2 linked regions of the Arabidopsis thaliana genome follow. The protein of the gene in region 1 interacts with the protein of each later gene in a pairwise test. Each region holds a gene or a part of one and is shown on either strand. Other genes may lie near its edges.

What was found.
Region 2: the proteins of ATFP8 (region 1) and AT5G58750 interact in a two-hybrid assay, tested with the Arabidopsis thaliana proteins (one large-scale study listed by BioGRID).

The regions. Positions count from the first base shown.
Region 1 is NC_003074.8:3,708,410-3,724,417, reverse strand, and holds ATFP8 (Ras-related small GTP-binding family protein), read left to right. Parts: upstream 1-12,800; 5' UTR 12,801-13,020; coding exon 13,021-13,034; intron 13,035-13,115; coding exon 13,116-13,188; intron 13,189-13,300; coding exon 13,301-13,348; intron 13,349-13,432; coding exon 13,433-13,480; intron 13,481-13,553; coding exon 13,554-13,625; intron 13,626-13,817; coding exon 13,818-13,973; intron 13,974-14,306; coding exon 14,307-14,410; intron 14,411-14,825; coding exon 14,826-14,928; 3' UTR 14,929-15,287; downstream 15,288-16,008. Other genes in the region: AT3G11780 (MD-2-related lipid recognition domain-containing protein / ML domain-containing protein), read left to right, coding at 1-92; AT3G11773 (Thioredoxin superfamily protein), read left to right, coding at 759-1,019, 1,088-1,429; AT3G11770 (Polynucleotidyl transferase, ribonuclease H-like superfamily protein), read left to right, coding at 2,326-2,928; AT3G11760 (structural maintenance of chromosomes flexible hinge domain protein), read right to left, coding at 3,295-4,236, 4,317-4,988, 5,076-5,234, 5,554-5,889; FOLB1 (Dihydroneopterin aldolase), read left to right, coding at 8,514-8,562, 8,866-9,049, 9,140-9,347; AT3G11745 (uncharacterized protein), read left to right, coding at 9,907-10,012, 10,084-10,164, 10,246-10,289, 10,401-10,442; AT3G11740 (LURP-one-like protein (DUF567)), read right to left, coding at 11,029-11,172, 11,276-11,506, 11,782-11,991; AT3G11720 (Polyketide cyclase/dehydrase and lipid transport superfamily protein), read left to right, coding at 15,697-15,737, 15,818-15,916. UniProt on the Arabidopsis thaliana protein: Protein transport. Regulator of membrane traffic from the Golgi apparatus towards the endoplasmic reticulum (ER).
Region 2 is NC_003076.8:23,721,802-23,737,006, forward strand, and holds AT5G58750 (NAD(P)-binding Rossmann-fold superfamily protein), read left to right. Parts: upstream 1-6,786; 5' UTR 6,787-7,084; coding exon 7,085-8,245; 3' UTR 8,246-8,341; downstream 8,342-15,205. Other genes in the region: AT5G58720 (smr (Small MutS Related) domain-containing protein), read right to left, coding at 1-11, 108-194, 319-344, 534-1,173; Mik (pfkB-like carbohydrate kinase family protein), read right to left, coding at 1,826-2,002, 2,639-3,523; AT5G58740 (HSP20-like chaperones superfamily protein), read right to left, coding at 4,135-4,221, 4,819-4,961, 5,266-5,314, 5,429-5,577, 5,679-5,727; DDB2 (damaged DNA binding 2), read right to left, coding at 8,940-9,159, 9,269-9,465, 9,548-9,796, 9,907-10,036, 10,137-10,228, 10,306-10,426, 10,557-10,645, 10,749-10,871 and 3 more; cPT4 (Undecaprenyl pyrophosphate synthetase family protein), read left to right, coding at 12,595-13,011, 13,098-13,165, 13,247-13,694; cPT5 (Undecaprenyl pyrophosphate synthetase family protein), read right to left, coding at 13,954-14,398, 14,476-14,543, 14,618-14,855.

The sequences.
Region 1 (16,008 bases):
AAATGAAGATGCTTGATGGACGCAAGAAGGAGTTAACTTGCATCAAGTTCTCATTTGATATTGGATTTGGATCCTCCGTGGCCGACATGTAGAGCTGATTTGCTCGACGGGATACACCATCTTGTTCTATACCATGGAACCACTCTCATTTATTTTGTATAAAATACACTCTCCTGCTATACATAATTGTTGATCAAAAACCCTTTGAAAATTCTCATTCTGGACCATTCATGAATCCCCCCATTTATAGAAAAAACAAAGTAATGAATTATTGATTAGGTTTTATAGAGCTGTGGTTAGTTCTAGTTGCAACCTTAAAGCTGAGCCTACTTTAACCAATAGTACATCATTACATCCACGTTCATGGAATTATAAAGACGTGACATACATCATCATTCAACCAAACGTAAACCATTAATGACTTATCAGAAAAGATGAATTTTTTCATAGCTTCAATATACCAACATGTTAAAAGGGACATTCCTCCCCTTTTGCTATGTATTTGGACAAAGTTGGGCTAAAGTTGGGTAAATTCAATGTTTTTTGTTACCCTAATTTAGCTTATCGGTTATCTTCTTTAGTACTACAATGACCCGTCAAAGGAGAAACTTTTGAAAAGCTAACCCACAAAGTAGCTTTTTTGTTCAGTTGAGTACTCATTTCGTTTTTCTCTTATCCAGTCTCATGTTTGTCAATCTTGATTAGGTTTTTGCCTCTCCTCTTTCACAACTTCTTATCAAAGGTTGAAGGTTGAAGCAATGATGGATATGAAGGAGAGAATGGTGAAGAAACTTAAGCTTATTACATCTCTTGGGAACTTGAAGCAGGCGATAGCTCTCCACAAAAGCAATCTTGATCACACAATCTTTCATCAAATAGATGAGAAAGAGTGTCTTACGCCAACGACAATTGAGGTTTCTGAGGATAAACGACTTCAACAGAATCTTGATGAGCTTTTGTGGGCTTTTGAAGAGAAATGTGTAGCTGGTGGGCAAGATTCTGTTGCTTCTTCACAACAAGTCTACGAGGAGTGAGAAAGACTTTCGAAGATTGCAGAAGAGTGAGATTCTTGCTAGAGAATCATAAGGCATCATTCCGAGAAAGAGATGTTTCAATGGATTGTGAGTACAAAGAAGAGATGTGGAGATTGCTTGGGGAGCAAGTTACACCTCCTAGGCTCTTCATAAAGTGTAAGTACATTGGTGGAGCAGACGAGGTGGTGTCTCTTAACGAAAACGAGAAGCTCAAGAAGCTTCTAGAAGTGTTTTCATCAGCTAAGTCGCGGCAGTGTGAGATGTGCGAGAACGAAAGATTTTTGATATGTTCGAAATGCAATGGGAGGTCGAGAGTTGTTGCAGAGCACGAAACCTGGAAGAGATGCATAGAGTGTAATGAGAATGGTCTTGTGAAATGTGCTCTTTGTACTTAATCCAAGATTCCAAGTGCTTAATAACAATTTATTTATATGACTATAACTAATTGTTTTATATGAAACAAAATGCTATGAATATACAAGGAAAATTTTCGAAAACAATACTCAAGGAGTTGAGTGAGTTTTCCAAAATGTTAAACCAAAATCAACCAAAGTGAAGAAAAAAATAATGTTCTATTGACTCTTCTAAAATCCTTCTACTACGGAACACGTATGGCGACATTCGCACGTGCGATACCCGTAGGTAAAGACACGTGTCATTCCTTCAATGGGCAGGACCGTACTTTCACTTGCGTACTTTTCCTTCTTCTTCCGACAACAAACCCAGAAACAGTCTTTCTCTCTTCCGACTCCGTTTACTAGATCAGCCTTCTCGCACCGAAATCTCAAGGTTCGTGTTCCTCTTTTCTGTCTTTTTGGATTGAAAGATTTTTCTCATGTTTATATATAAATCTTCAATCCAAATCAACAAAAGCATGTTCCATCCGATGAACTTATTTGGGGACTTTCCTCTGTCTAATCCACACTTTATAAAAATCGTACCTTTGTATTGTGTTCATAGAACCCAAACGCTGATTAGAGTAAATTTGTTGTTCTGGCAAAAAACCCAATTAGCTCTGAATGCGTCTACACATTTCTTGAATCGGTCATTCTATTGCTGCTACACACTCAAAATCGATATTTCAATGTCTTTGTGAATTGGAAAACATATTGAAAATCTTTGCTGCTTTATCAGTTTTTCATTCGATTCATCGCTGAGCACATTCACAACAAAAACAGATCACTGATTATTAGAATTGTATTGATTCTGAGTGTCTCTCCAAGCTAATGGATCTATATGATGTTGTGTCTAATGTGTAATGTGAATATGTTTCCAGTGATTTCAGACCACAATGGCCTCATTCGATGGGCAAGGGTTTATGATGGTTGATAATTCTTGGGTCCAGACCAAAGCCATTGATGTTGAATCAACAACCGATATCTCTCCTTACCTTTCCAAGATCCTTGAAGATTCCGTCTGGAATGGAAACCGGTCCATTGTCTTTGATGTGTATTGGGATGTCAAATCAGTTAGCACAAAGTCCGAATGGCGTCTATGCTCAGTGAAGTTTAGCACTAAAAACTTCTGTCTCTTCCTCCGCCTGCCGAACCCGTTCTGTGATAATCTCAAGGATCTTTATCGCTTCTTTGCTTCCAAATTTGTCACATTTGTCGGTGTCCAGATTCAAGAAGACCTCGCTTTGCTTAAAGAAAACCACGGTATTGTGATCCGAAGCTCGTTGGAGATTGGGAAACTAGCTGCGAAAGCCCGAGGTACTCCAATTGTTGAGTTCCTTGGAACCAGAGAATTAGCTCACAAGATTCTTTGGTATGACATGAGTAGGCTTGATTCTATTCAGTCCAAGTGGGATGAAGCCAGCTCTAATGATCGTCTTGAAGCTGCTGCCATTGAAGGTTGGCTTATTTTCAATGTCTACGATCAATTGCAGCAGTGATTTTTCGTGGCAATGTTCTTCATGTAACTCTTATGTTAACCTTCTTGATCAAATGGATTTGTGAGATTGCGCTTGATTGCGCTTGATTGATTCATGTTGTGTATTGTGATGAGTGAACAATACTGTCTGAATAAAACATGCCCGGCCTTGTCTTTTTGTCTGAAGATTTTGAGATTATGGTACAATGCCAAAATTTTAAGCTGTAAAAACATAATGAACCAAAAAGAGACAGCGAAATAGAACGAGCAAAAATGTAAATTCCTTGGATAGTTAGATACAAACTGGTTTAACTCTAAATCACATTCACAAGTTAGTTACAAAACTTACAAGAAACTCAACAAAACGTTAGCAACTCTGCCTAGGCTTTTATAGACTGGTAATCTCTGCGTTTGTGGTGTAATGAAACTCGATCTGTAAACGGTGATGAACAGGCGCGGTTGAGGCTAATCCTTTCTTGATATCCTCTTGCAACTCCCTAATTGGTATGGCCGCCAAGAAATTCTTAATATACTCTTTACATGACTCCTTCCCTCTGCTCAAAATCTCTGATTCAGGTTCTGATTCGGATCCTGCTTCCTCTGTGTGAAGAATCTTGTGGATGACGGTTTTATGGTCGAATTTCAAAACGTAAGCTTGATCACAACCCTCGTAAAGCCTTTCTCCAAGTGTGTCAATGATATAGTAAGCTTCTTTTTCAACTTTGAGGACAAAGAAGTGATCGTTCCAACTCACTATGTAAACGTGCGGTGGCGAATCATCATCATAGCTATCACCATTCGCCGAGCTTTCCTCCAGACTAATAATTTCAGCCCAAATACTATCGAAAGACATTGCGCCTTGTAGAAACTCGAATCTACCCTCGTTGATCATCCCATCAGGATGGAAAAACCCAACAAAGGATTTTCCGGGGATAACGGTTAGAGGCCGTATCTTTGCTTGTAGCACGGTATCAAGATCGAAATGCTTGTCAGGGAATTTCTGCATATACGTTTCGTTTTCGCAGAGGTTTCTCCATTCTAAAGAACCTTCTCTGATCAAACTATCGAACTGAGACTTGATTGGCATGAGATTACCATTCTTCTGAAACCAATCCGCAATGACCGCTACAAGAGCAGTGCATGCACTCTCACCAGCTGCTCGCTCGCTTCTCTGGTCAATAGAAGCAAGAAAGACACTTGTCTGGAGCTTCATGTGTCCATCTCGGCTTATCACTTCTTTCTCCTCCCAACTTCCAATCGCAAAACTGTCTTCTCCAAACTCCGAGAACGAAGTTCGTGGATTAGCAGATGAATCTTCATCAATCTTGCTCTGCATATAAAACACATTCAAAAACTGAGAAAAACTGTAACTAACTAAACTGAATAATGATGCTACTTATAAGACCTTACCCCAAATGGAGGATGAGCTTCATCTGAGCTAAGTTGCCTCCGATCAAAATCAATGTCATCTCCACCTTCTTCTCCATTATCCTTCTTTAACAAAGGCTCTCCTTTGGATTTCGGAGACCTAAAGCTCAACTTCCTCTTTCTCCATGGCAATATGCTACGCCGTGGAAGCAGTGATGCCTCATACACCAAACCCGCAGCGGAATCTTCAGCATCAGAGCAACCTGCTCCAACGTCTGATTTCCTGTGGCTATAATAAACCCAATCTTCGTCTTCATCGCTAACTTTCGCGCCACAGTTTAATGAAGTTCCCACACCATTTGCATAAGACAAAGGTCCATAAGAGAAAGATTTTCTCATACTCATCAATTCTTCTTTGCCTTCATCAAAATCTGTCTCGAAATCATCAAGCGATTCTGATGATTCAAAGCTTGAGAATCTGCCTTCTTCTTCCCTGCAAGCCTTCTTGGCTTTCCTTGTAGAAACAAACTCTGTGAAAATCTTGACTTTTCTGAGACCAGCTTTGATTGCAGAGACATCCTCCTTCTCAACTGAGTGAGTTTCAGTAGGCTGTTGTGGCGATGGAGATGGGAGAGGCAAAGGCACAACCGCGGTTTGTGCTGCCGAGTCTGATGTTTCTGGAGTAGTTCTAAGCTCAAGCAGGCTCAATGATACCTAAAGGAACAAGAGATTCTCAAAGGTCAAAAAACCAATATCCAGCCAACAAAGTAGAGAAGTGTCTAAAGAGAGAAGTAACCATACAAAGAGCAAAGGATGTGTCTCAGAGGCCACACAAGCAGAGAGCGTAAGTGGTATGTTTATATCGAATTCTTTTTTATCGGTCACACACGCGTACTCAGCAAGATTCAAAAATGCCGTTCCAACAACAGGAGCTTTATTCTTCTGCCCTTGCTTCATTCCCTAGAAACAAAATCAAATATCAATCTTCTTTATCTTTGAGGATGACACTAACAAACAGAACCAATTACCTATACTCTCAACCTCTACAATAGAAGGAATCTTATCAAGGTCTAGTTTAAAGTCTTTAGAATCAGCTGAATCAAACAGGTTGAGACATTAATTGGTATCAAAATCTTACAACCAATAAATTCAAAGAGTCTCATGATTTGATGATTATCCAGCTAGGGTTTCATCTACAACCTAATTCACCATTTCCAAAGTTTCAACATTTGAATCTAAAACTTAAATTTCAAATCTTCGGATACTGATTAAAACTTACATTGGTGAAGACAGAGAAAGTTATCTCCCAAGGATAAAACAAACTGTCCTTGTAAGAAGTGAGTGAACATAAGCTCTGAAACTCTTCATCTTCCCATGAAACGACATCGCTTTCTCCCACAGCTTCCTTGGTGAAATTCCTCTTCACCGACCTTCTCAAAGATCCCAATGTCGCCTTAGGACCTTTCCAACGAATCTCCACCGTTAATCTATCTTTCTCCGGTACACCTTCCCTCACCAGATCCCAACCCTCAAGCTTCTTCACGGAAAGCTTCACCTCGTATTTCCTCGTAACTAACGGCGGCCATGGCCGCCACTTCATCATCTTCACCACCATTTACGCAAAAACGAAATTTGGAGTCGTCAAGAAAAAAAGGAGAATCACACAGAAACGTAACAAAACTCTTTAGGAGTAGTTGAGAAATTTAGGGAAACCTAGAGAGAATCTAGAAAAAAAAAAAAAAAAAAATGGTTTCTTTGCCTTCAATCTAGTTTATCTAAGAATAAAAATCAATGCCCAAAAATAGAAAGTAGATTTTAGACCCAGAAATGAGAAATCTATTATAAGAGGTTTCGTGGAAAAGAGAGATCAAAAAGTAAGAAAATTGAAAGCAAAAATAACAACTTGTTGAAATTAGCTTCAGCTAAAAGATTGCAAAAGTTAAGCCGTGACGAGAGAAGAAAACAGTAGAGATAGAAAGTGGCGCACAAACACAACACAAGCACAAGCGTGTAGACAGAGAGAGACAACGAAGAAAGTGAAAAAGAAAGATCCCAACTTCACAGATCTGTCCCTCTCTCTCTTTCTCTAACGATAGAGCCCAGTGGCTGACGGATAGAACGAACCAAACCGGCGTTAAACCAATGCGTGGACTAATTGAACCGTGGTTTAATAAATCCGGTTTATATTGAATTCTTTGATTTGATCATATCCTCAACGTCACGGGTGGGGGAAGCGGCTGCTTAACGGCGTTAACAAATTCCGTTTTTTGTCTTTTTCTTTTACTTTTGTTTATCAATTAGACAAAAATAAATTACTTCAATTTTGGTTGCATGTGTTGGAATCTGTAGACCATGTGTTTTTGTCTCATGATTCTTTAATTGAAACTTACTTACCTTTCTTCTTGCACTTATTATTATTTATCCAAAAAATTAGTTTCACTTTACATGATTATTTATGGGACAACATGGTTCATGCCACTAAATGTGGTGGTCACTGGTCATAGTTATGCTTCACACTAAAGGAACATACGGTATCTTTGCATTACGCATGGTCATCCGTTTTATCCGATTAAAATTTGGTCCAAAAACGAGTTTTGTAAAAAAAAAAATTAGGTGTTACTTTTGCAATTAGTGTATAAAATCTAACTAAAACAAAATTCCAAATGGAGCCACAATAGTGAAAGATTTTTTTTCTTTTTATACATGTCATGACTTTATAAATTATTATTTTATAAATTAGCACTAAACTTTATTCTTTATCACACAATAAACTAGATCTCTAAAATTCAATTAATTATAATGTTAAATATGTATAATTTAAATAAAAATTTACATAAAGCAAAATGTCAAGTGGATCCCTTGAAATAAAGTGAAACTTCATTTTCCTTTAATATTAGCACTAAGTAGCAATCAAATTGATTTATACTAGGTACTAGATATTAACCCGCGGTATACCGCGGGTAGGTTTATATTTTAGTTAAATTAAAAACTTTTTTTGTAAAGATGATTTATAAATATATGATATTATTTTATTTGATTTTAAATGTATAGTACACTGCGAGTATTATATATTTTGTTGATATTGTTTATATTGTTTAGTGTTTAAGATTATACACTTGTATTTTAATTGTTAATTTTAGAGTTTCATCTATAGCATACCATCTTGTATTAATATCGATCTAAACCTGTCAATTCTAAGATTTTATAGCTTGTATTAAAGATTGAATCACATCATACACATTAAAAATATCTAATATGTTATTAATTATTGTAGTATATAAGATTATAAATTTTCAAAATAATATGTATGAAATTGAATAAATATACAAATTATGACCCGTTACTCAGTCGAAAGTTTTCTTAAATCTATTTTTAACCCGTTATAATATTTTTTCATGTATAAAACAGTTTATATTCGTTTTTAAAAATTCAAATCATGGTATATGCAAAATAATTCTAATTTTTTTTGATATACCGATGATATGATGATATTATTTGTTTCGGAAAAATAGAATCATATAAAGATGAGAAGTGAAGTATAATAATTAATAAAAAATTAATATGATAATTTAGATATCAAATCTAATATGTTGATTTTGATTGGTTACTTTTTTAGAAATTAATAATGTATTTCGTTTTTCTAATTAAATTAAATTAATTAAATTAGTATTTGACTTTTTAATCCTTAAAGAGATGAATTAATTTACTCTTTGAAATTTTATTTTTAATGGCACACCTATGTAATTAATTACAAAAATTAAGGTTACATTTAAAATGTACTTCCCAAATAATATAGTAGGATTAAATAGACAAAATGAGAAAAAAATTGGATTATATTTAATTAAAAAAAAAAGAATTTTATAAGTAACACTTTGATAGAAGAAAAATCCAGTTACTATAATATTTAACTTTTACTCTTTAATGGATAGTGATGAATGAATATACAAATTCTTTAAAGGAAATGAATCCAAAAGAAATTAATATATTTTCTAAAACATACATATATCAAAGGTAATAAATATTTTTATTTTTTTTCGTCGAAACAGGTAATATATATTATTGAAACAAAAAAAGAAGAAAATAATAAATATTTCTTAAAATTTGGGCCTATAAATACATGAGATTGGGCCACCATTACCATCTACTTCGTTTTCCTTCAAATTTAAACTGATATCCTTCGATTTCTCTCCATCTCTCAGACGCAATCTAAATCCAAAATCTATTGCTGCGAATAGTAAGATGCATAGCTCACTGGAGACCACGGCTCCGGCGACGTTGGAGCGACGAGGTATATACAAATTTCCTTTTAAAATCGTATATCGGTGGCAAAAAATCTCGAGTTATGGTGGTTTATAGTTTGGTTTAGAGTCAGCTGGATGATTAAGGTTGAGAGATTTAAATTGTGTTTAAGTCAACAAAATAATTTAAGATAGTCCTTGCTTAGATTTTTAATCTTTAGTCTCTTTTCTGTTTGCATTCCTGTAGAATTATTTTGGCAGAACCTATGTTTGTGTTTATGAATTGTCACAAGACTCTTGCTTTATGTTTCAAAGACTTATATAAGCAGTTTTACGTGGAACATAATCACCAGAGTCAAATCTTGGAGACAAACTGATACTAAAAGGGTTGAAATTTTACGGTTTCCATGGAGCGATTGCTGAAGAAAGGACACTGGGGCAGATGTTTCTTGTTGACATTGATGCGTGGGTGAGTCTGAAAAAGGCTGGTGAATCAGACAACTTAGAAGATACAATTAGCTACGTCGACATTTTCAGGTTAGCTAAATACATAGTATCCCGATTTGCGTTCATCTTTAAGTTGTATAGTTATGATTATGTTGTTGACATAATTGATATTGTTTGCAGCCTAGCTAAGGAAATTGTTGAAGGGTCACCAAGAAACCTTTTGGAGACAGTCGCGGAACTTATTGCTTCCAAAACGCTTGAAAAATTCCATCAGATAAACGCTGTTCGAGTGAAGCTCTCAAAGCCAAATGTTGCACTTATTAAGAGCACCATTGATTATTTAGGGGTCGATATATTCAGACAGCGAAACACTAGTTCAAAGAACTGAATAACCCAACAAAACTTTGTGTCGGGACTTATATCCATGAACTTCTCTTACACATCTTCATATCCAAAAGCTTTGAACTATGTTAAGAGCTAATTTAGATGTTCAATATTTTCTTTTCTTTCCTTTATGTTCTTTCGAAATTGTCGTTATTTTCTTAATAAATTACAAAGAGTTATCTTCTTAAAAAGTCTGTTTATGTTTATTGTGTCTGTTTTTGTAATTCTAAAGCATCATTGCCCATTTAGGTGACCAGTGATCACACAAAGAGTCAATGAGCATTTTCTTTTTGGCCGTTCATGTGTTTGGTGTGGTGAAAAAATGAACGTGTAGAAACGGAAGGAAAAATTCCCTAACATAGTCAAAGACTTTGATCAGATGGGTTTGATTGGGCTAACAAGTAAAAATAAAAAGTGGCGGGTAAAGGAAAAAATCGGGCTATGGCCCAATAAAATAGGCGGATAAGGGAATAGGCAGGCCCATTTAAACCCTTTGGTTGGAAGAGAAAGAAAATCACAAAATCAGAGGAGGAGACGAAGAAGACCGAACCCTATTTCCGACCATGTCGCAGCCGAATCTTCTAAGATCCGTCATAGCGCAGGCAATTCACGGAGAGAAATCGGTTGTGTCTCGACGCAATTTCTCTTCTTTGCGTAGTAAATATGATGGTAACGTTCTCTGATTCGGCAAGAAATCTATCAAACTATCGTGAGTGTAATTGATTTGCTTATTTTAACAGAGAGAGAAATGTTTGCGAAGACAAATAGACGTCGTTTATTGGCTTTTTTAGTGGCTACCTCTCTCAGCTTCCATCTCTGGGGTAATGTTGAGTTTTTTTGCTGTTTTGTGGTAAAGAGCAAAAAAAAAACAAATTCGTTGTAATTTTTTTTTCAAACATCAGAATTTACCAAGAAGAAAAATGCTCGGCGTGAAGAAAAGAATGAGGTAATCAATTGTTTATTATTGGTTTTCAACATTTGGAAGATTTAATGGAGTTGAAATACCAAAAAACTTAAATAGAGAAACTTATACATTTGTGCTTTCTCTGATTTGCAGGCGAAGAAGGTGCAGCAGGTGGATCTGGAAGAATTAAAATAAGAAAAGATTATGTTTGATGCAGTGAACAAAACGAATGTTAATGTGTTTAGTTACTTTATGTTGGATTCCCTTTGTGTTTAAATCCAACATAACTAAATGATATATTCATAGCAGAGGAACTATCTTGCTCCAGATATATAGAATTAGTTTACTAATTGTAAGGAGACACATTTCATTGGAAAGAAATGGGGACAAGTAATGTTCCAATTCCTCATCATCACCCAACATGTTGCCATATTTAGATCCGAGTATGTTTTTTGACGCATCACTTTGGCATATCATTTCTTTATCCACCCCCATTTAGATTCTATTAAAGGAATCTCCAATGGCTGAAACTTCAGAGATGGTAAAACTAAGTTTTGAGACTTTTGATACCTGAAGATGTTTGTCTACCTCCACAAAAAAGTTTGGATTTGTCTTTCGCACATTTTCTTAAATACGGTTTCACTATTATAATGATATAAATTGATAGGCCTTGGTGAAATAAATCACTAAAAATATTGTAATAATTAACATATACTGTACTATGTTTTCGAGTATTATTTAGATTTGCAACGCACAAAAAGAAATTAGTTGATAACTTAATCTAGTCTTCTGAATCTTCTCGGTTAATGTCATCGAGGATTACAATGAGAGAAACTATAAAAGCAAAGTCAACATTCGGATAGACAGTAACCGAAAAATTACTCTTCCCAATTAATATGCTTTGTGCCGTATGTTTCTTGTGCATCTGAAAAAAACAACAAAACAACAACAATGACTCAATTAACACGATCATATAACTAGCTAGTCCGGTTTATACAATTTACAGACAATTTGATCAGTGTAATTACCTGAGCAACAATGGCATCAGATTTGCCGGCGTAGACGACACAAGACCGGTCGATCCAACTTCCTTTAACATGGAAGTCGCAAATCTTCATTTCTTTATTATGAGCCAAAAAGATGTCTAGTTTTGGCTTCATTATTTGAATCATTGAAGATCGTTTCAATGTGTATAATAGATCACTTTGGTCTGTACTCTTCCCTCTATATACTAGCCACCTATCATGCAAGCTCACCTTCTACAATTTTTATGTTATAAGAAAAAAAAGTTGTGGATCAGATTTTATTGGATGATCTATGACGATTTAACATACTCGAATGAGTGATGATGATTTTGATATTATTTACAATTAGTTGATAGACGTATTGAAAAAGTGTACCTCCATGCAAGTTATAAGAGCATGTTTGTGTATATATGATTTGCATAATGAAATTTTTTTTTTGTATCACCATGAAAAAATTGTGCCTCTCCATGCAAGTTATAAAGAATTGTAGTTGATAGACGTATACTTACATTTTCTCTCAAAGTCAAGATTGGAGTATCGTATGCGTCCAATAAAATCCTTTTGTCGCTGATGCTAAACAAAGGTTCCTTGACTTTGAAAAGGAGATTGCCGTTAACGTCCGTGACGGCGAAGTTACCATCGGTTAAAGTCATCACCTTCCGTACGATTCCCAACTCGATAGGGTACGGTGCACAGAAATTAGGGCTAACGATCGCCATCTTTTTGAAGATCTCTCTCTGTTTTTTTTTTCTCTTTTACGATTCTTGTATAAGGTGGAGATTTGTGTTCGTTTCTCAATCTTTTTAGTTATTTATAATTAGGATATTCCAAGTATTGTGTGAAACAAATCTTCGTGTTTTTAATTTTGTGTTTTTGGCTATATATGTTTTGTTTATTTTTAGAACTTATCTTATTTTAAATCTGCTAGCCAAGTTGCAAGCTGCAAACACGTTAGCGTTACTACACTTTTTTTTTTTGGTTATATAAAAAAAAATAGTTTGATGGAAAAAAAATATTATAAATTGAGGAAATATCTTCTTTTTTGCCAGAAAAGGAAATTAGAAGAAACGTAAAATTAGAAGGTAACTTTTGGTAGGATTAATATGACTTAATTAAAAATGATATGAATGGAGTATGAAAAAGAGAATGATTTTGTTGATAAAATATACTGTCATATAAAATTGGAAAATCCATGCATATTCAATCAAAGTTTTTCTTTTCTTTTTCAATATACCTTTTTAATCCGCTTTAAATACTTCATTATATTTAATTCCTCACATCTTGATCACGGATTATAAATCAAATTTATGTAAAATTATCTTCTCTAAAAAAATAAAAATAAAAATTGAGACATATACATGAGTAATAAAATCCAAACCTTTAATAACAGGGCCAGGACGTTAACGACGGTTAAGTTAGATAGACAAGATTTTGAGCTCGGCCCATTTATCAAAAAGCCCAAATAAGAAGACACACACACGTAAAGAAATCAGTGAGACAAGGTCAAAGCTTCTTTATTGTCTCGGGAAAAACAACAAGGAATTAAACAAATATTAAAAAAACTGGGAACAAAAAAATCCAGTAGAAGTCGTGGGGTTCAATGTTCATGTAAATTGATTGACACGCCCCCTAAACCCAAACCTCTCTTTTTTTTTGTTTCTTATATTATAGAGAAAAAGAGCTTTTTCCCGGAAAGTTGTTCTCATCTTGGAAAATCAAATCTCGGAAACGCAGTCTTCAGCTAAATCATGAGCAACGAGTAGTAAGTGTTTCTCTCCTCCTTGAGAGCCATTCTTTCGTTTTCGATTTTACTCACACCGATTTCGATTTTTTGTTGTTGTAGCGATTATCTGTTCAAGCTTTTGTTGATCGGTGACTCCTCTGTTGGAAAATCGTGTCTTCTTCTCCGATTCGCTGTGAGTTTGACTTGATTTTGATTCTTAATTGATTCCGTCGTCGAGAATTAGCTCGTGTTAGGTTTCTTCTTTTGTACTGTTTCGTGATTTTGGGATTTGTTGCTATTTCTAGGATGATGCTTACATTGACAGCTACATAAGCACCATTGGTGTTGACTTCGTAAGTTCATTCTTTGACCTTGTTTACATACATGATCGAGATTGTTTTATCCCAAACTTACTTATAATGTGGTTGGTTTTGCAGAAAATTAGGACGATTGAGCAGGATGGGAAGACGATTAAGCTGCAAATTGTGAGTTTTCAATTATATAATATGTTTTGGATGATTGTGTTTACTCAATTTTACTGTTGCTGCTCTCTTTTAGTGGGATACTGCTGGACAGGAGCGTTTCAGGACCATCACTAGCAGCTATTACAGAGGAGCTCATGGAATCATTGTGAGCAATCTTTATATTCGCTTTCTTACTTGCTTTTTTTTGGCTTACCTAGACTAGTGTTATGTCCCTATTTCCATTTCTCATTTTAAGTGGTTTAGTCTGAGATTGGTATTGTAATGTTGGAATATGAATCATTTTAATGTTGTAATCCACCCTTTAAGTGATGAACCTTAATGATGATAATTGCAACAGATTGTTTATGACTGTACTGAGATGGAAAGCTTCAACAATGTGAAGCAGTGGTTGAGTGAGATCGATAGATATGCCAATGAGAGTGTTTGCAAGCTTTTAATCGGTAACAAGAATGATATGGTTGAAAGCAAAGTTGTTTCCACCGAAACTGGAAGGGTAAGCTCACATCCCTAGTTAAGTTCCCAGCAATTTTTCCATTTATGATTTTGCTTCTATCTTATGCATAACATCCTTTGCATGGTACTTTCCCCTTTCCTCATTTGATCATTTCATGGTTTCGCATATCTTTAACCATGTGATGATATTACAACCATTGAGATTGTTATACCAGAATTTACGGCTATGAATGTAGATGATCTCTGACCAAATTCCCAAAGCTAGATGATCTGAATCCACCGAGTAGAAATTGCTTATTTTTGCAGCAGCTGTTACTCCTGATACAACTGTGAATTGGTTTTCTTACATTTCATCTACTCAAAATCACTGCAGGCCTTAGCAGATGAGCTTGGAATTCCCTTTCTTGAGACCAGTGCCAAGGATTCTATTAACGTTGAACAGGCATTCTTAACTATTGCTGGCGAGATAAAAAAGAAGTATGTTCACTATCTTTAATCTTTCGCCATAATTTTTTCTGCGAAGATTTAACATAGATTAGGTTTAGTAAACTTGTTCTATTACTATATTCCTTGATCACCATTATATACATCAAATCATTCTCTGTGTTTTTTTCTGCTGCAAAGCATCTTGATTCTCCACTGTTTTCATGAAATAAACTATTCATGTAAAGTTTCAAATCCGAAGTGTGCTATTCTAGACTTGATGACTAATGGAAAGCAAATCAACAAACTAACTGCTGTATCCTTGTAGCTTCCTCAAGCTTGTGTACTTAACTTCTGTTGATAGATTTTCCATATGGTTGATATCTTGTATCGACATTTGCTGATTCAGTCTAGTTTATGTAACATGGAGAATTGAGTCTAATCATATCGTAACTCATTTTCTTTGCAGAATGGGAAGCCAAACGAATGCAAACAAGACATCTGGTCCTGGAACTGTCCAAATGAAAGGTCAGCCAATCCAACAGAACAATGGCGGTTGCTGCGGTCAGTAGTTTAAAAAATGTTTTAATCAAAACTATCTGAGACTCTTTTTTTACTTCCTTTTTAACTAAGTGTTGTGAAAACCAATGGCTGTTTAAAACAACTAAGAAATGTAATATTCCATGTCGCTGTGTCTTGAATAAGCTATGGTGTTAGTTGCAAGATACTTCTCTTTAATATAGTTCAGTCTTGACTTTGACCACACAGGGATATGCAAGCAACTCATGGTTTTGAATTTTGATTGTGTATATATATTAAAAATAGTGATAGATATTCGTTGCTGTATAGGCTGGACCATGTTCATTACCATAGATATTTAAAACTTGCAGCTAAGTCCATAGAATGAGGAAAAGCAAAAACAACATATGAGAGATAAATCTCAATAATGTAAATGCTGAATTATATATACTTCAAAGATACGAGTCCAAATCAAATTCTTCCATTTTCTTACGCTAAAGTATACGGATTTCCAAAAGAAGATTTGTTCTATTTCGTTTACAACGCAATTCTAGTTTATAATAACTCATCATATACTCATGTGGTTTCAAAATACCCCAAATGCATGTTTTTCTAGAAACAATCAGTTTTCTGATTTTGATGAAATCAATCATACCTAGATTCATTCATTTACTCCCACAATTTTAGAAGAAAATCTCATTCCTGCACATCCTTATTTAAAAAATAAAATAAATCAAAAGTGATCTTATTTGTTTGTGTTTAAGTTTTATAAATTCATTTTTTTTTGTTTGAATGATAAAAAGACAGACAGGAAAGATCTCATGACAACGACAGTTAACCGACCTGGTCCCTCTAAAATAAAGTCTGACACAGACTCTCAAACTTTGTCAAATCCAATTCTTATTATTATTGGTAATGAGACTTTTTCTTCACATTCTCCAGATATGTATATTCCCGAGAAAATGAGGGAAAGTATCTTCTAATCGGGAAAAACATCTCCACGTTCCTTGCCCGTCTCGTAGGTTACGCATCAGCAGCTGGGTTTTGTCTGGCAAAACTATAACCAAAAGCTTCCTTTCTTATAAATTGCCTTACGTTTTAAGGTGTTCTCTTCTCACTTCTTCCCCATGATT
Region 2 (15,205 bases), on another chromosome or scaffold:
GACTCTGCCAGCTGTTAAATAATGTCAGGAGATTGCACTTTATTTTATCGTGTAAGAAAACAAAATAAACAGATCTATGAAGATTAACAAAAAAAACAATCACTTACACTATCGCTGACTCCTATGCCGAAACATTTACCACTCAATGAATCATCAGTTGATGAAGAAGACATGTCAAGCAAGACATTCAAAGCCTAAGAAGAAAACGCTATTAAGCTTTAAAATAAATAGTCGGGCAAGTATCAGCATATTTCAGGAGCTTCCCTGTCAATATACTAAATACTTCCCCATGTAAGTTTGAAGACAATCTCTGCTTACCATGTCGACATCATAGCCACATTGACCTACAAAAAATAGATACTTCCATGTCAATTCATCGAACAATCTAGTCTCTCCTCATAACATTATTACGGCTATATTTCGAATATCGCGGACACATTAAAACGTAATCCTATAACTATTAAGGATCATACTTTTCTACTAACATCTTCTCCCATGGAAAAATTAACTGACTAAGAAGAAGAAATACTCACACAAAACATCTCTAACAACAGCCATGCTAAGCTCGCAATCATCTCCAAGCATTGAACTTAAGAACTGTTCAGCTTTCTCTCTATCCGCAGCTTTTTTCCCGTTCCCACAGAGCTCTTTAGACCGTTCCATCATAGGAAACTCTTTTCGCACAGGGTTTGGCTTCAAGTAATCCTTCGCAATCACAGAAGAAACCATCCCTGTAGCAGCAATAACTCTACTCTGCTTGCTTCCCTTAAACCATCTATCTCTAGTCAAATCTTCGCTACAGCTAGAACTTGACCCTGCCCCATACTCAGAGGTAGACGCTGTTTCCTGACCCGAAGAACCACTCGCCACCGAACTCGTCGACGGATCATCACCGCTTTCCACCAGATCCGATAAAATCTCAGCGGCTTTGTTCAGATCTCCGCCTGCTTCCTTATAAGCAGCCATCGCTTCCTCCATTGAAACCGAGCAAAAGGCTTCCATTAACGATTCGATAAAATTTTTTCCAACGTTTTCTATCTCCCTCTTTCCTTCACCGTCCTTCCTCTCTTCCTCCACATCTTTTTTGTTCCCGTCCGACGTCGTTCCATCACCGGAAGGTTTCGCGGCGCAGGATCGCTTCTTCTTCTTCTTATGCTGGTTCTTCTGCTTCATTATCGTACAATTATAGATGAAATCGTGTCAACGCCGCTTCAATAGAATCTCTTCCGATCTGCAGAAGAAACTTAAACCCAGATTTCCGACGAGAAGCGTCGGAGAGAGGGAAGAGGCGTTTTAACCGTAAATCAGGAGTTAGTAATGGAGATGCCAATATCAGAGGAAATTTTTTGCTCGTCCAGACTTTTGATTGGGAATCGGAATCGCCACGTCAATCCACGCGCCTGATCGTGACCACGTTTTAAATCCACGCGCACGAATCAAACACCGAACACGGTTTCCTCCTGATTGTACATATATTGAACCGGTTCAACTATGCACCAGTCAAAATTAGATCTCCCACGTTGACTTTCGTAATTTTATCTCAGATTTGTTTTTGGTTTTTATATTAACTAGATAATGTGGCAACATGCGAATAGCAAATCATCTTATCCAAAACTTTTAAAACAAAATTTGACATCTTCATTTCGAATTTTGAAACGCGGAGTTGATAAACAAACTTTGCGGGAACGACCAGAAAGAGCGTTTGAAGACGCTGGTCAACGCGTTTTATACATTAAAATTTCCAAAATTCATCAACGTGTTGAAGCAAGCTTACACAACTCAGAAGAGCTTTGTTAGTAAAAAAAAGGTGATTCAAGATTCGTATTCACAGGGACCGATCATCACAAGAGTGACCATTGACCAATAACTTTGGTTGAAGTTGAGAGTCTACGCATGAAAACCGAGCTGGACTTAGACGCTCATGGAACTCGTTGTGATCGTTGTTATGGCTGCTAGATATGTTACACTGCTTCTTCCTTCTCTGTACCTCATCCTTGACTTTCTGCAAATCACAAAGACATATGTCACATAGAAATAACCGATGAAAGGGATGAATCCTTGTGCAGTGCAAACACAAACGCTATAAATCTTCTAATTTGCTTAATGTTCACTTGCACTAGCCAATGGTTCAATTATTATCCAATAACGCCCTCATTTCAACAGATACAACTACAAGAGATACACAGAAACACTCGCAAATACATCAAGAGATCCATACTTTTGAATTCTCTAATTGCTTAACCACATTGTTCGGTGAATGCTTAAACAACACTTTTTCCTGCATCTACCCTATGTTGAATGAAACTGCTCCTAGATTAACAATGAAGTAAAACAAGAAAAGACTCTCTCAGCAGCTGTGACTCGACAGAATCTCAAACAACAACTGTGAAGATTTGACACATTTTCAGATTGGAAACCTATCAACATCAAATACAGATTCTAGTTCACCCGCAAGATATAGGTTTGGCTGTATTGAAAGTAAGCTGCAAGATGTAACAGAGTTCTTTTGCTAGGATTATGTTAAAGACATTTGCATATCACTATCATCGGCTCTAAAAGTTCTTACTACTGTCTATTAGATTTGCAAATCTCTCACAGCATGCAATTCAGTAAGCTAATACGAGACCAAAAAACAAACCTGAAGCATCATCAAATCGAACTTTGGCTGACCAATATGCTCTACAGTGATGGAACCAAAGAGGTTCCCTAACAATGCAGCATCAGGAACAGTCAAACCTTCAACAAGCCCAACAATCAAACCTCCGAGAAAGCTGTCTCCGGCACCGGTAGGATCCACCTGCTTCGCCAAGAACGGAGGAACCGTCATTTCATCATCCTTATGATAAATCCTACACCCTTTTTCACCATTAGTCACCACCACACAACACAAGTGCTTCATTTGTTCAACATCCATGAAAAGAGCTTCGTCTGACGAAGCTTTCAAGAATCCAATTCGATGCAAGATGTGATAAAATCCACTTTCTTTCAAATCAACAAGCTTCACAGCTCCGTCAACAGGATCAAAAACCCTAATCAAAGCTTGAATATCCACAGCAACAACGTCACAGATCTCCACCATTTTCTCAAGCGTCTCCGGTAAAATCTCGCCGCCGACTCCAACGGCCATTCCGAAATCAAATCTCGAATCGGGTATATCCGAAGGAAGAATCGGATCACATGCAGAGACTCTTTTCAACACCCGATCAGCATGACCGATCCCATCGATTCCCAGATCGAAATACGCCTCGAAAACTGTTGTTTCCTTCTCCGGAGCCACGATCGGAGAGTGGGTGACCTCGTATCTGAAGTCGTGTCCTACTTTGGAGACCAAATCGCAGGAGACAGAGGAAGAATCTAAGACATTAGATATGAAAGAGGCGGCGCCGCCGAGAGTTTCAGCTACGACGGATCCGTTTTGGATTAAAACGTCGTGGCAATAATTTCCGACGATGAGAACGCGGCGATTGGGAATCCGACGCGGCGAGTGAGACGTTTGCTGCGACGGAGGAGGATTCAACGTCATGATCGCGGCTGGTGCAGAGGATCATCGAGAAAGTGAAGCAGAAGGAAGAAGAAGAATCATGGAATTAGTAAGACGAAGAAGCCGACCAACGAGAAGAAGAAGAAGAGACAAAACTAATGGCTATAAGCTAATACGTAACGTCTTGAGATTCGTTCCCTGCTCTCTGTCTTATGATATATGTGTCGCGAGGGAGATGACGCGCGCCTAATTTTCCTCCTTTTTTTTTTTGTAACCGAAATAAAATGATGTTAAATAATAAAATAGAGAATATGATCATTTTTCTCCAATTTTATTTTGTTCGAATTCCTTATTCTCCTCCACTTATCCAAGACAATTTCTTTTTGAAAAAGCTGTCACATACCAAAACAAGATTCGAAGCGCACGGCGGCTCAGTGGACTTTTAGTAGATGCTCCGATTCTGTTGTCGGGAAGAAAAGGACAACTAAACAGAGACGAAAGACGATTTATATGATTGCCATTACGAGTTATAGAAACAGAGAGTCAGGGGGTTTATTTATGAGACATGAGACATTTTGTTTAAGTCATGGTGACTTTTGAGTTTGTTATAATGGACATACTATTATAGCAACAAGAGTGGGACTATTATTTATTTAGTCAGAACGAATACCGCCCATGAAGCTCCTTGGATCTGGACAATTACCCGAGAACTGAGCTTGCGAGAAGTCGAATCCCGGGTTCTGCAAAAACCAACAGAGAAAGAACATGTAAAAGGAAAGTTGGTCGAAAGAGTAAAGAAAAGCATACTTGAGCTCAATACAAAGTAAATAGAAACTCATGCATACAAGCAGAAACAAAACCAATAAGACAAAGCCATTAAGGCATACATGAATCACACCCATGTGTGCAGTCTTGCCATGTTAATTTGCTCAATCCGGTTAGACTAAGGCTGAGCAATTTCATCCACCATAGCTTTACTATCACCAGCTCTATGCAGACTGTTTATTCATGAAACTGATAAAAATCCGGCTACACTATAGGTTTACTATCACCAGCTCTATGCAGACTGTTTATCCATGAACACAAAAGATTCACTACTTGAGAGAGACATAAGAAACAAAATAAGAGAGCTTGAACAAAGAAAACAATCATGGGACATGACTCATCCAAAACGATCATTTATGGCAAAGTAATCATACTTTGACATAGATTCATTCTACTCAGTAGTGGTGCCTAAGATTTGCTTTGGAGATCAATTAGAAGACCTAGAAAACAACATTTATTTTTTCAAAAGCAGAAACCATATGAAACCAAGAGGACTTTTACAGGTAGCTAACCTCTTCTTGAAACCTCTGGAGCATGAGCCGCTTCTGCTCAAGATCAGTGGCGTAAGGATCTAACTGACCCTGTCCCAGAATCGGTGATGCCCATGTTTGCCCTTTCTCCCTCTTCTGCAGGGTAATGTGCATTATATCATCCTCTGCCAAATCAAACATAACAATCCAGATTAGCAATCAGTGCCAGACTATGAACCTAAAAAAACTATGCCAGTAACTTACATACGCTGATAATATAACCCAAAATATACTGTACATTCCATCATCCCTCCATTAGTCTCAAATTTTCCACATTCCAAACTATATGTCCCACTATTTATACCAAACTCAGATCACATTTCCAGGTTCAGTTTATCCTCTCTAGCAATAGTGAACGGGTCTAAAAACAGAAACCTAACCATCAAAAACAAGCACCCAATACAGACACAAAAACAAAAAATGGAGTACCTAGAGTCCAGAACGAGCAATCAGTCTTCACAGGAGCACTAAGATCGTGCTGAAAATTGACAAAATTTAGACAATTGAATCGAGTTATATATACCACATCGAATAACTCAGATTTATGAGACAAACGGATCAAAAACATTGAAAGATAGCGAAAGAAACTGACATTGAGATAGGGAGGGTTGCCTTTGATGCCAACTTCGATATGTTTCGACTGGATTTTGCAGTGGAATGACTTTGGATGAACATTTGGCGGCAAAGTTATGTACATGTTCACTTCTTCCAGGGTTTGATCCCACTCAAATACCTTTTGACCTATAACCATCGGAAATCGAAGAACATTCAAACCAAATCTCGTGAAATGGAATCAGCTGAAATTAGAGAAATAGAGCGAGGGGATAGAGAAAGCGAGAAACCATTGTGAATGAAATCGTGTCTCTTCTCTGGCGCAAGCTTCTCCGCCATATCTAGGGTTTTCTTCTCCGTTCCCGGCGAAATCGATCACCGTTGATAGTAGTTGTTCTGGTTCCTTTTCAATTCGTCTCAACATTGGAGGACAGGCATTTATGATTCAGTCCTTTCATAATCATGTATTTTCTTTTAGGGTTCTTAGTTTTAGTTATTTACGCTTAGATCCCTTTTCTTGAGGTACACTCCGTTTCTAACTTGGAAGTCAAAACTCCATGCCGTTTTATTGAAGTTCTTCCAAGTTCCAAGAAACATTTTTTTGTTGTCGCCAAAGTAGAACACTCTTTCACAATTCCACAGAAAATTTAAAGATGAGAAGTGGGTCTATTCAATGCATAGAATACGGAGGAAAACAAAATTGAAAGAAGAGTAATGTGTAGGTCTACCACAAAACATGGTCCATTTTAAAGCCTTAAACGTAGCCAAGTGTGTTAGTTTTTTAGCTTTTCAATGTCCTTTGGGACAAGAGATACACTGTACCCATTTCCCCCTTTCAGTTTCTTCAACGTAGACAGGGTAGTTATTCAATTTTCTCATATTAAAACGTTATACGTGATCAAAGACTTTGACTTATAACAGAAGAATAATTTTGATCAATCAAAAAGTTGTTTGATAATGTAAATTATGGTCTTCCATTTCGCTAATCCAAAAACTTACTTTCTCAATTCCATTGGTCAACTTGTTTCATTTGATGAAATTCGATATGATACATGTTTGGCCACTGCATGAATCGAACGACAGTTAGATCTCAAATCGGTTTGGTTTCGGGTACATGAGTTCTAGTTATGAAAAAACAATCATCACGACTCACGAGTGTATATATAACTAGTTCATTGAATAAGTTGTCGGCTAATATTCGGTTTTGACCGGTGAGACTGTTAACTAAAATGAATACTATTAGAGTAGAGACCCACTTGAAGTGTACTATAATTTTAAAAGCCGGCCAGCAACCACGGGCCAGACTCTGCCTCTCGCAAAATCTTGACCGTCCGATTGAGAACCGGACAAAATGCTGTACACGACGGTTCCTTAAAAAACTATTGTAACAACTGTTGCTTTCGTAACACATTCCAGAACCACAAATTAAATTGATAAACACGTTAACATGAAACCCAAAACACTGTTTGACTTTAGTCTATTTTATCTTAAACAAATGTTGCTTCGTTATGCTACATCGTAGCTGTGTTCAAAGCAACTTGCTTTGGATAATTTATCATAGCCTTTAAAACAGGTAAGCATCGAGTCTTGAAACTATCCTAAAACACGTTGAATCAGTCCCACAAACTTTTTTTGTCTTTACTCTAAGCGTTTATATGAAGCTTTGATCAAAGTCCATAACTCACTAATAATCACAATGGGGTCTGAAAATGGCAGCTTGATGAGAAGAAACGAAGTAGACGAGAATGTAGCGTTAATCTTTGGCGTCACCGGGCTTGTGGGTCGAGAGATTGTTAAGACGCTATTAATGTCTAAACCAGGATGGAGAATCTACGGCGTAGCGCGTAACCCGGAGATCAATTCCATGACGAAGATGTACAACTTCATCTCCTGCGATCTGCTTAACGCATCTGAGACTAAACAGAGGTTGTCTCCATTACAAGACATCGTGAGTCACGTGTTTTGGGTCACGTGGTCTGGTGAGTTTCCATTGGATACCGACGAATGTTGCGTACAGAACAAGACGATGCTGATGAACGCTTTGGACGCGATTCTCCCAAACGCTAAGAGGTTAAAGCATTTCTCGCTTCAAACGGGGATGAAGCATTATGTGTCTTTGGTGGAAGAGACAATGGCTCGTGGAGAAGGTTCGAGTTTGTATTATTACAGCGAGGAGTGTCCAAGAAAGAGCTCTGGGAAGAATTTCTACTATGTTTTGGAGGACTTGCTGAAGGAGAAGATCACTCGTAGTTCCGTTGTTTGGTCGGTTCAAAGACCTGGTTTGCTAATGGGAAGCTCTTCAAGAACTCTGTACAACTTCATGGGAAGTCTTTGTGTTTATGGAGCGATGTGTAAGTATTTGAATCTTCCTTTTGTGTTTGGAGGAACAAGAGAATGTTGGGAAGAGAGTTACATAGATGGCTCTGATTCGAATTTAGTCGCGGAGCAGCATATATTCGCTGCAACAAGTGGGAAAGTACGCGAGAAAGGGGAAGCTTTTAACGCCATTAATGGAGTAGGGTTTACTTGGAAGGAGATTTGGCCGGAAATAGGGAAGAAACTTGGTGTACAAGTTAACGAAACAACCATGTTTGATGAAGGTTTCTGGTTTGGGAGAGAGATGGTTGAGAGAAAACATGTGTGGGATGAGATTGTTGTGAAGGAGAAGCTTGTTAGGACAGAGATTGAGGATTTGGCGAATTGGTATTTCTTGGATGCTCTGTTTAGATGTCCGTTTAAGCTTCTTGGGAAAAGAGAAAAAGTAGATAGGTTTGGGTTTAAGAGGAAATATAGAACCCTAGATTCGGTTTTGTATTGGATTGATGTGATGAGAGATGAAAAACTCATTCCTTTGTAACACATGTTGTACATTAGCAATGTAGATCACGGTATATATGTACTTGATCAATAATCCTCATGTAAGTTTTGTTTGTTTGAATAATGAGCTTTCCACAAATCCTTTTAAGCTAAATCATTAAACATAAATCCTTTGCAGTGAAATGCAATAGCTAAGTTAGATTCCAAGCAGTGGATAACCAAAATTCCAGTCAGGTTTCGTAAACGCGTCCGAACAAATGTGAATGTATTGTGACATATAATAAGATGAAGTAGTGGCAGACCATACTTGAGACAACAACAAGATGATTAGCTGGACTCAGTTTGTTTATCGATGTTATTGCATACGTAGTACAGATGAGTTTTGGCTGTCAAGATGACGTAAGAGTAAAGACATTTCATCCCATGTCTCCACTCTTCACTCAGCGAGATCAAGAATCATTCCAACAAGTAAGAGAAAACAGGGGAGAGTAAAAACTGAAGAGAAGATTCAAGATTGATCCATTCCACATACTTACTACAATTCATACTTAAGAATCACCAAAAAGGATTTCAAGAAAATGCCATACAAAAGCCGATCATGCGCCCCCAAAAGAAAAAAGAAGCAAAATTGCCGCCAAAGGCAAAACAGGGGATGCTACTAAAACAGACTCTGTACAAGAAAACCTACAAAAACAGAGTAAGTTAGTTATACATAACGACCTTCTTCACTCATATTAAGTTTTTGTCTTCTTGGTTGTTTTTGCTTGATACTTATTGACTTTTATGTTTTTGCCTTTAGAGCTAAATATGTCATCTTCATCGTCTTCATCATCGCTGCCACGCTTTTGCTTCTTTCCTTTCTTCTTGCTGTCACCATAACATATGATAATCTTCTTATCCTTCTTCTCCTCAACCATCTCTGTATTATCCTGTGGCCTCCAAATGAACAGCGACCTGCAAAACCGGATTTCGAAACCAAATCCACACCAATGAGAGATCAGTCAATAAGAAAAAGTGTCCACCAACGGTTACTATTGTAGCTGTTGGGTAATGAATCCCGAACCTTGAACTTCCTGAAGCTAAAACATCATCGCGAGGATGCAACTTGTTGACTGGAGTAATAGTTGTGATGTTTGGATCCATAACCTCTGCAACCAATTGTCCATTGCTTGCATCAATGAAATCTATTGGGTGAAGAGCAGTTCCGTTGTAGTTTTCACTGATGTAACGACCAATCACGATGAGTGACTCCGAGGTATCCTGCGGATGAACATATAACAAATGTTGAATAAAAAGGGGAATTGATGGAAAAGGAGAGGAGAAAGAGGTTAAAGTATCAAACCTTAGGGTCCCATTCAGCTTTGAATGGTGTCAAATGCCGATTGAAATCATTACTATGAACAATCTCTCGGCTTGGCAAATCTAAGTTCCCGAAGATAGAGTCCCATATTCGAATACGGTTGTCCTGACACGTCGTGAGGATTTTCGTGCCTGATGATGGAGAGAAGTAAGCAGAGTTGACTACTCGTTTGTGTGCAAGATCATGAAGAGAAGCTTTAGGTTGTAGTTTACGCATATCCCAGATTCGCGCCTGAAACCATAACCAGGAAAATCTATTAAACAAGTTCTGAAAGAATTCAGATAAACATCTAAACGAATCCAAAGTGACAGCATGATCTTGGTTTTGTTTGATAGACTTACAAAATGATCGTTCCCACAACTGAGAAGAAGCTCAGGCTGGACAGGGTTGCAGTCGAGGCCACAAACTTTGCTTCCTTGCTTGTGTATCAGAATAGGCTCACCCGTACTGTTATTGGTACGATGATCGATCCTTTTACAAAAGCAATCACGAGAAAATCAGTTTGGCACTCATTTAAAACAGTAACAAAGAGGCTAGTCTATAAACAGTTCAAGGGGATGAAATCACTTACATGTGAAGAAACCCAAAATTATCAGCAGCAAGCACTACACCTTTCTCCGAGTTTATATCCATACCGTACAGCATTTTCCAACTGTTTGCGCCCTATAAACCGATGATATGTCGTAATAAGTTAAATGAATCAGAGAAGACAAATTAGAGAAACGAGACGATGGTGTGACCTGCCATCCATCAGGGTTGAGATTCAGCAAAGTTGATGAAGTTCCAGTTTCCAGGTCAGTATAACCAATTGTTCCATCAGAGGATGCAGAATAAACCATGTCATCATTTGTGGGACTAAACCTGCAATACCAACAAAAGAAGATAAATTTGATAAAACAAAAGACATGAGCTTTTGTTTCCAGATACTATAATGCAGAAAGTAAAACCACAACATATACTGTAAGATTGAAAGCCAGATTTAAAAACTTACCGCATATTATTAACTTGAACAGAATGTATGTTTCCATACACATTCTTCTCATACACTTTTCCAAAATCCCAGACTCCAATTTGCCCTTTCTTCAGAGCATTAACCATAAGACCAACAACAGAATCGAATAAAAACAATGAGAAAATAAACGCAGAAAATTAGTTACGTATGACTTTTGTTTCATTGTAAAACCTTATCTCCAGAGAGAAGAATGTTGTTCTTTGTTGGATGGAACTCCAAACATGTAACACGTCTGCTGTGGTATCTAATAACTGCACAATGAACTTGATCCGGGATCACATATTTTGGTTTAATCTGTCCAGCAAAGGAAAAAGAGAAAAGATCCAGTCAAAAAATCTCATCAGGTATCAAAAAATGTTTGGCGCTTGAACACGTAAGGACTTACAGGAGGAATTCTCGGTTGGAGTTGGCGCTTGAACACAAAGTCAATAGGGTTCTTTGTATTCCTATGAGAAGTTGGGAGTATTCCGTGGTCAGTAACCACTCTATGAGGACAGGACATTGTGGTGTGGCCTTCAAGTGATGCAGTAGAAAGCGAAAACATTGAGTAAATTAACATTTTCTCCACTCACCATCATCAAAAAGCTCACATGTAAGCAAGAATCGATAAGAAATAGCAGGAGCTTTACCAGGCATTTTACACAAGAAGCAAGGCTTCATAGGACAATCGATATACGTTGCTCCTTTAAATCCAGCTTCATGGCCAGGCTGTTTACAAACCTATAAAACCACCATGAAACAACAACAGATACGAAACAATCAAAGCCAAACACCAAAATCCTCTGTCTCTGCATCCAAGTGAAGAATACTAATAAACAATAAAGTGAATTTCAGGCACCATTATAATGGGAACCAATACAGTGAATACTTCTAATATGTTCGAAATCAAAATCAAAAGTCATTACTTATTCCACATAAGCCTACTCAGAACTTGAAATCATAAGCCAAGTAAGAAAACTCATTAGAAAAGTTAGGGTTTTTAGAATAGCGTTACTTTGCAAACTTTCTTAATAAGCTTAACGGTAATGGGTGCTTTCCCTTTGGCTTTATTCTTCTCCAATTCAATTTTCCCTCCATTTTTAACCGCTTCATCTTCCTCCTCCGACTCCGAGAAAGGGTAATTATCTTCCTCTTCTTCTTCTTCTTCTGACGAACTTAACTCGGAATCTGTATCTCTAGCGATGACGATTTCTGGGTCCCTTTTTCTTCTGCTCCTCGTTGAACTCATTTTCGGTAAAAATCTCACGACCCGACAAAAGGAAGAGAGTACGAATCAAACAGTTTTGTTTCTTTTTGGGTTTGATACGACGCAGCGGACACAAACTAAAGCCGGTTAGGTCGATGACCGGTTTAATTATTTACGCGGATAAAAACACTTTTACTCCCATTTAGATTTACCATTATACCCCCTCCAGATCTTGTAATATGTTCCTGTAATAATGTGAGGGTATATTGGTATATAACTAACTATCTCGTGGCGGGAGAGGTTAAGACGTGGCGAATTACCGGCCGGAAGCACCATTCACGTGGCTCTCACGAGCAATACTAGTATTGGGCCTTTTTATTCAGATAAGTAATGGGCTATGGCCCAATTTTCATTTATCCCATATTTAAATTTGACTTACAAACAACATTAATTGAGGTTCTTTGCTGGTATGTTGACAAACAACATTAGTTGAAGTTCTAGGAGGAGGTTTTAATGCATTTATTTTCTTTAAGAAAAGGAAAATTAGGAGACGTGGACGAATAGGAACTCGTATAAACCACACAAAAAAGAAATAAAAAGACAGGAGCTTGGAATTTCTTAACGATAAAGTTTGTTTGTGGCGCTCAATTTCGAAAAAAACATGTCAACATCATCTTCTTCCACACCGACAAAACACGTCGTCGTTTTCAAACACTTACCAGAACCATCTGTGGAGGAAAGAAAGTTCCAACCTTCTCTGCTTATAATACAATACTTCCCCTATGCTATCAAACCTATCACAAAGCCTAGAGTAAAATCGATTCTCTTAAGATGTTATCTCTACGAGTTCCTACTCCCACTTCCTTCGATTTCCGGCGATATCAAGCCGGAGATTTAGAGCGGCGATGGCGGTTAAGTAGAGATAGCTTTCTCTCTTTCTCGCCAAAATTCGAGGAAAACAGAGGATTCCGATTCGGAGTCAAATCTTCCAAATCGGATGTTTCGTTTACGGCGGCGGAGGAAGAAGAAACTCTGCCGGAAGAGCTACATGCAGAGCTGATGCCGAAACATGTGGCGATTATAATGGACGGAAACGGAAGATGGGCGAAGAATCGTGGTCTTCAACCTTGGGATGGTCACAGAGCTGGCGTTGAAGCTTTGAAAGAGATCGTTGAGCTTTGTGGTAAATGGGGAATTCAAGTCCTTACAGTTTTCGCTTTCTCTACTGATAATTGGATTAGACCAAGAGTGAGTGACAAACCTAATTTTTAAATTTTAGGGTTTCTTTTCGAAATCTCAGATTTTGATGCGATTATGAGTTTATTCCTCTGCAGATTGAGATTGATTTCTTGTTTAGTTTATTTGAGAGATCACTCAAAACAGAATTTCAGAACTTAGCCAAGTAAGTATTGCGTATAATTTGTAATCAAGAAGTGTTTGTGATTGATTAATTATGTCTCAAAAGCTAATCTTTTATATGTAGGAACAATGTTCGGATATCGATCATTGGAGATTCCTCGAAACTTCCGAAATCTCTTTTAAGAGTGATTAACGAAGTTGAGGAAGTTACAAAGAACAACACGAGGCTTCAGCTAATCGTAGCGGTTGGTTACAGTGGGAAATACGATGTTTTACAAGCGTGTAGAGGTATCGCGAGGAGAGTGAAAGATGGCGAAATCGAAGTTGAGGAGATAGACGAGAGACTGATTGAGGAAGAATTGGAGACGAATTGTACTGAGTTTCCTTACCCGGATTTACTTATAAGAACGAGTGGTGAGCTTAGAGTGAGTAACTTCTTGTTGTGGCAATTGGCTTATACAGAGCTTTTCTTTGCTCAAGAACTTTGGCCTGATTTTGGGAGAAGCGGTTTTATCGAAGCTTTGATGTCGTTTCAGCAGAGACAACGACGCTTTGGTGGTCGTAAATCTTGATTTTCTTGCAAATGGTGTAATGAAAACTGAATATGATGTGTAATATACCTCAAGAACTATGCTTTTGAGATAGTACAGTTCCTTGTGTTGCAAGATATTTGTTTTAGTGATAAGTAACGACAAAGTAACCGCTGATTTTTATTAGCAAATTTTCAATTTACCGACATAAAGTTACAACAGCATAATGATCTCTGACTGTGGAACAAGTAGTTTGATAGAAATCTCAGATGAACATAACAGAACAGAGCGGAGCAGAGGATCAAACCCGACAGCCAAATCGTCTTTCCCGGCGCTGATACGAAACCAGGGCCTCTAGAAGCTTATCCTTATCGAAATCAGGCCAAAGGACCGGCGAGAAGAAGAGCTCTGTATAAGCAAGTTGCCACAAGAAGAAGTTACTAATCCTCTGTTCTCCACTTGTCCTAATCAATAGATCAGGACTTGGGAACTCAGTACAATTTGTCAGAAGCTCTCTTTCGATCAATGCCTCGTCTACATCTTCCTCTCGGATCAACCCTTTTTCTGATTTCTTCACAATACTCTTGCAAGCTCGCAAGATGTCTAATCTCCCGCTGTAATCTATTGCCAATATGAGATGCTTCTTCTTATAGCTTCTCGTAGCTTCCTCTATCTCTTGGACTGTTCGGAGGAGAGACTCAGGGATCTTCGTTAGGTTCCCGATAACAGAAACTCGAGTTTCCTCTCTGAAACAACAAGATTTTGGTAATCCATGAGCAGATCATTTGTCAACAAAAAAGCTCAATTGAGTTGTACTTTATACCTTTGGAAATATTGGATCTTGGACTTGAGGTAATGTTGGATCAAAGACATCAAGCACTTAACCTCAATCTTATTAATACCAACAAATCGTTAGAGTCAAGAGTTGAGTGAGAATGTAAGCTACATAGTCTGAAATATCACACCTTGTGTCTTCCCCAATTCTCTGTGGAGAAGGCAAAAGCTGAAACTGTATGAATCCCCAATTTAAAGCAAAGCTCGGAGAACTCTATAAGCCGTTTAGCTCCGGCCTCGTGGCCTTGTGACGTCAGCAATCCGGCCCGTTTGGCCCATCTCCGGTTTCCGTCCATTATCACTGCCACATGTCTTGGCATCAGCTCTCTTTGTAGCTCCTCCACTCCTACCACATAAGTTCCCTCGTCACTACACAAACACAAAACTAAAGCTACATTAGGAACGATCTAGCATTGAAACTGTGAATCTTAAGCGCATGTTGTCTATTTGACAATTTTGGAAACATTGCCAAAATCTTCTACTAAGCAAACTAGTTATAGTCTTGGTCACGCTCGTTTTCTTTGCCTTTTATATGAAACAGAGGAAATTTTCGTTTTCTTTTTTTTTTTGAACACCAAAACAGAGGAAGTATAACAATTAATTTCTCTGGCTTTAGTAGATGATTATCATTAAATAAAAAATTTCGTATGAAATGTTCACTGAATCTTATGCAATTCCATTTTCATGACTAGATTGTTTAGTTATATATGATGAAATTT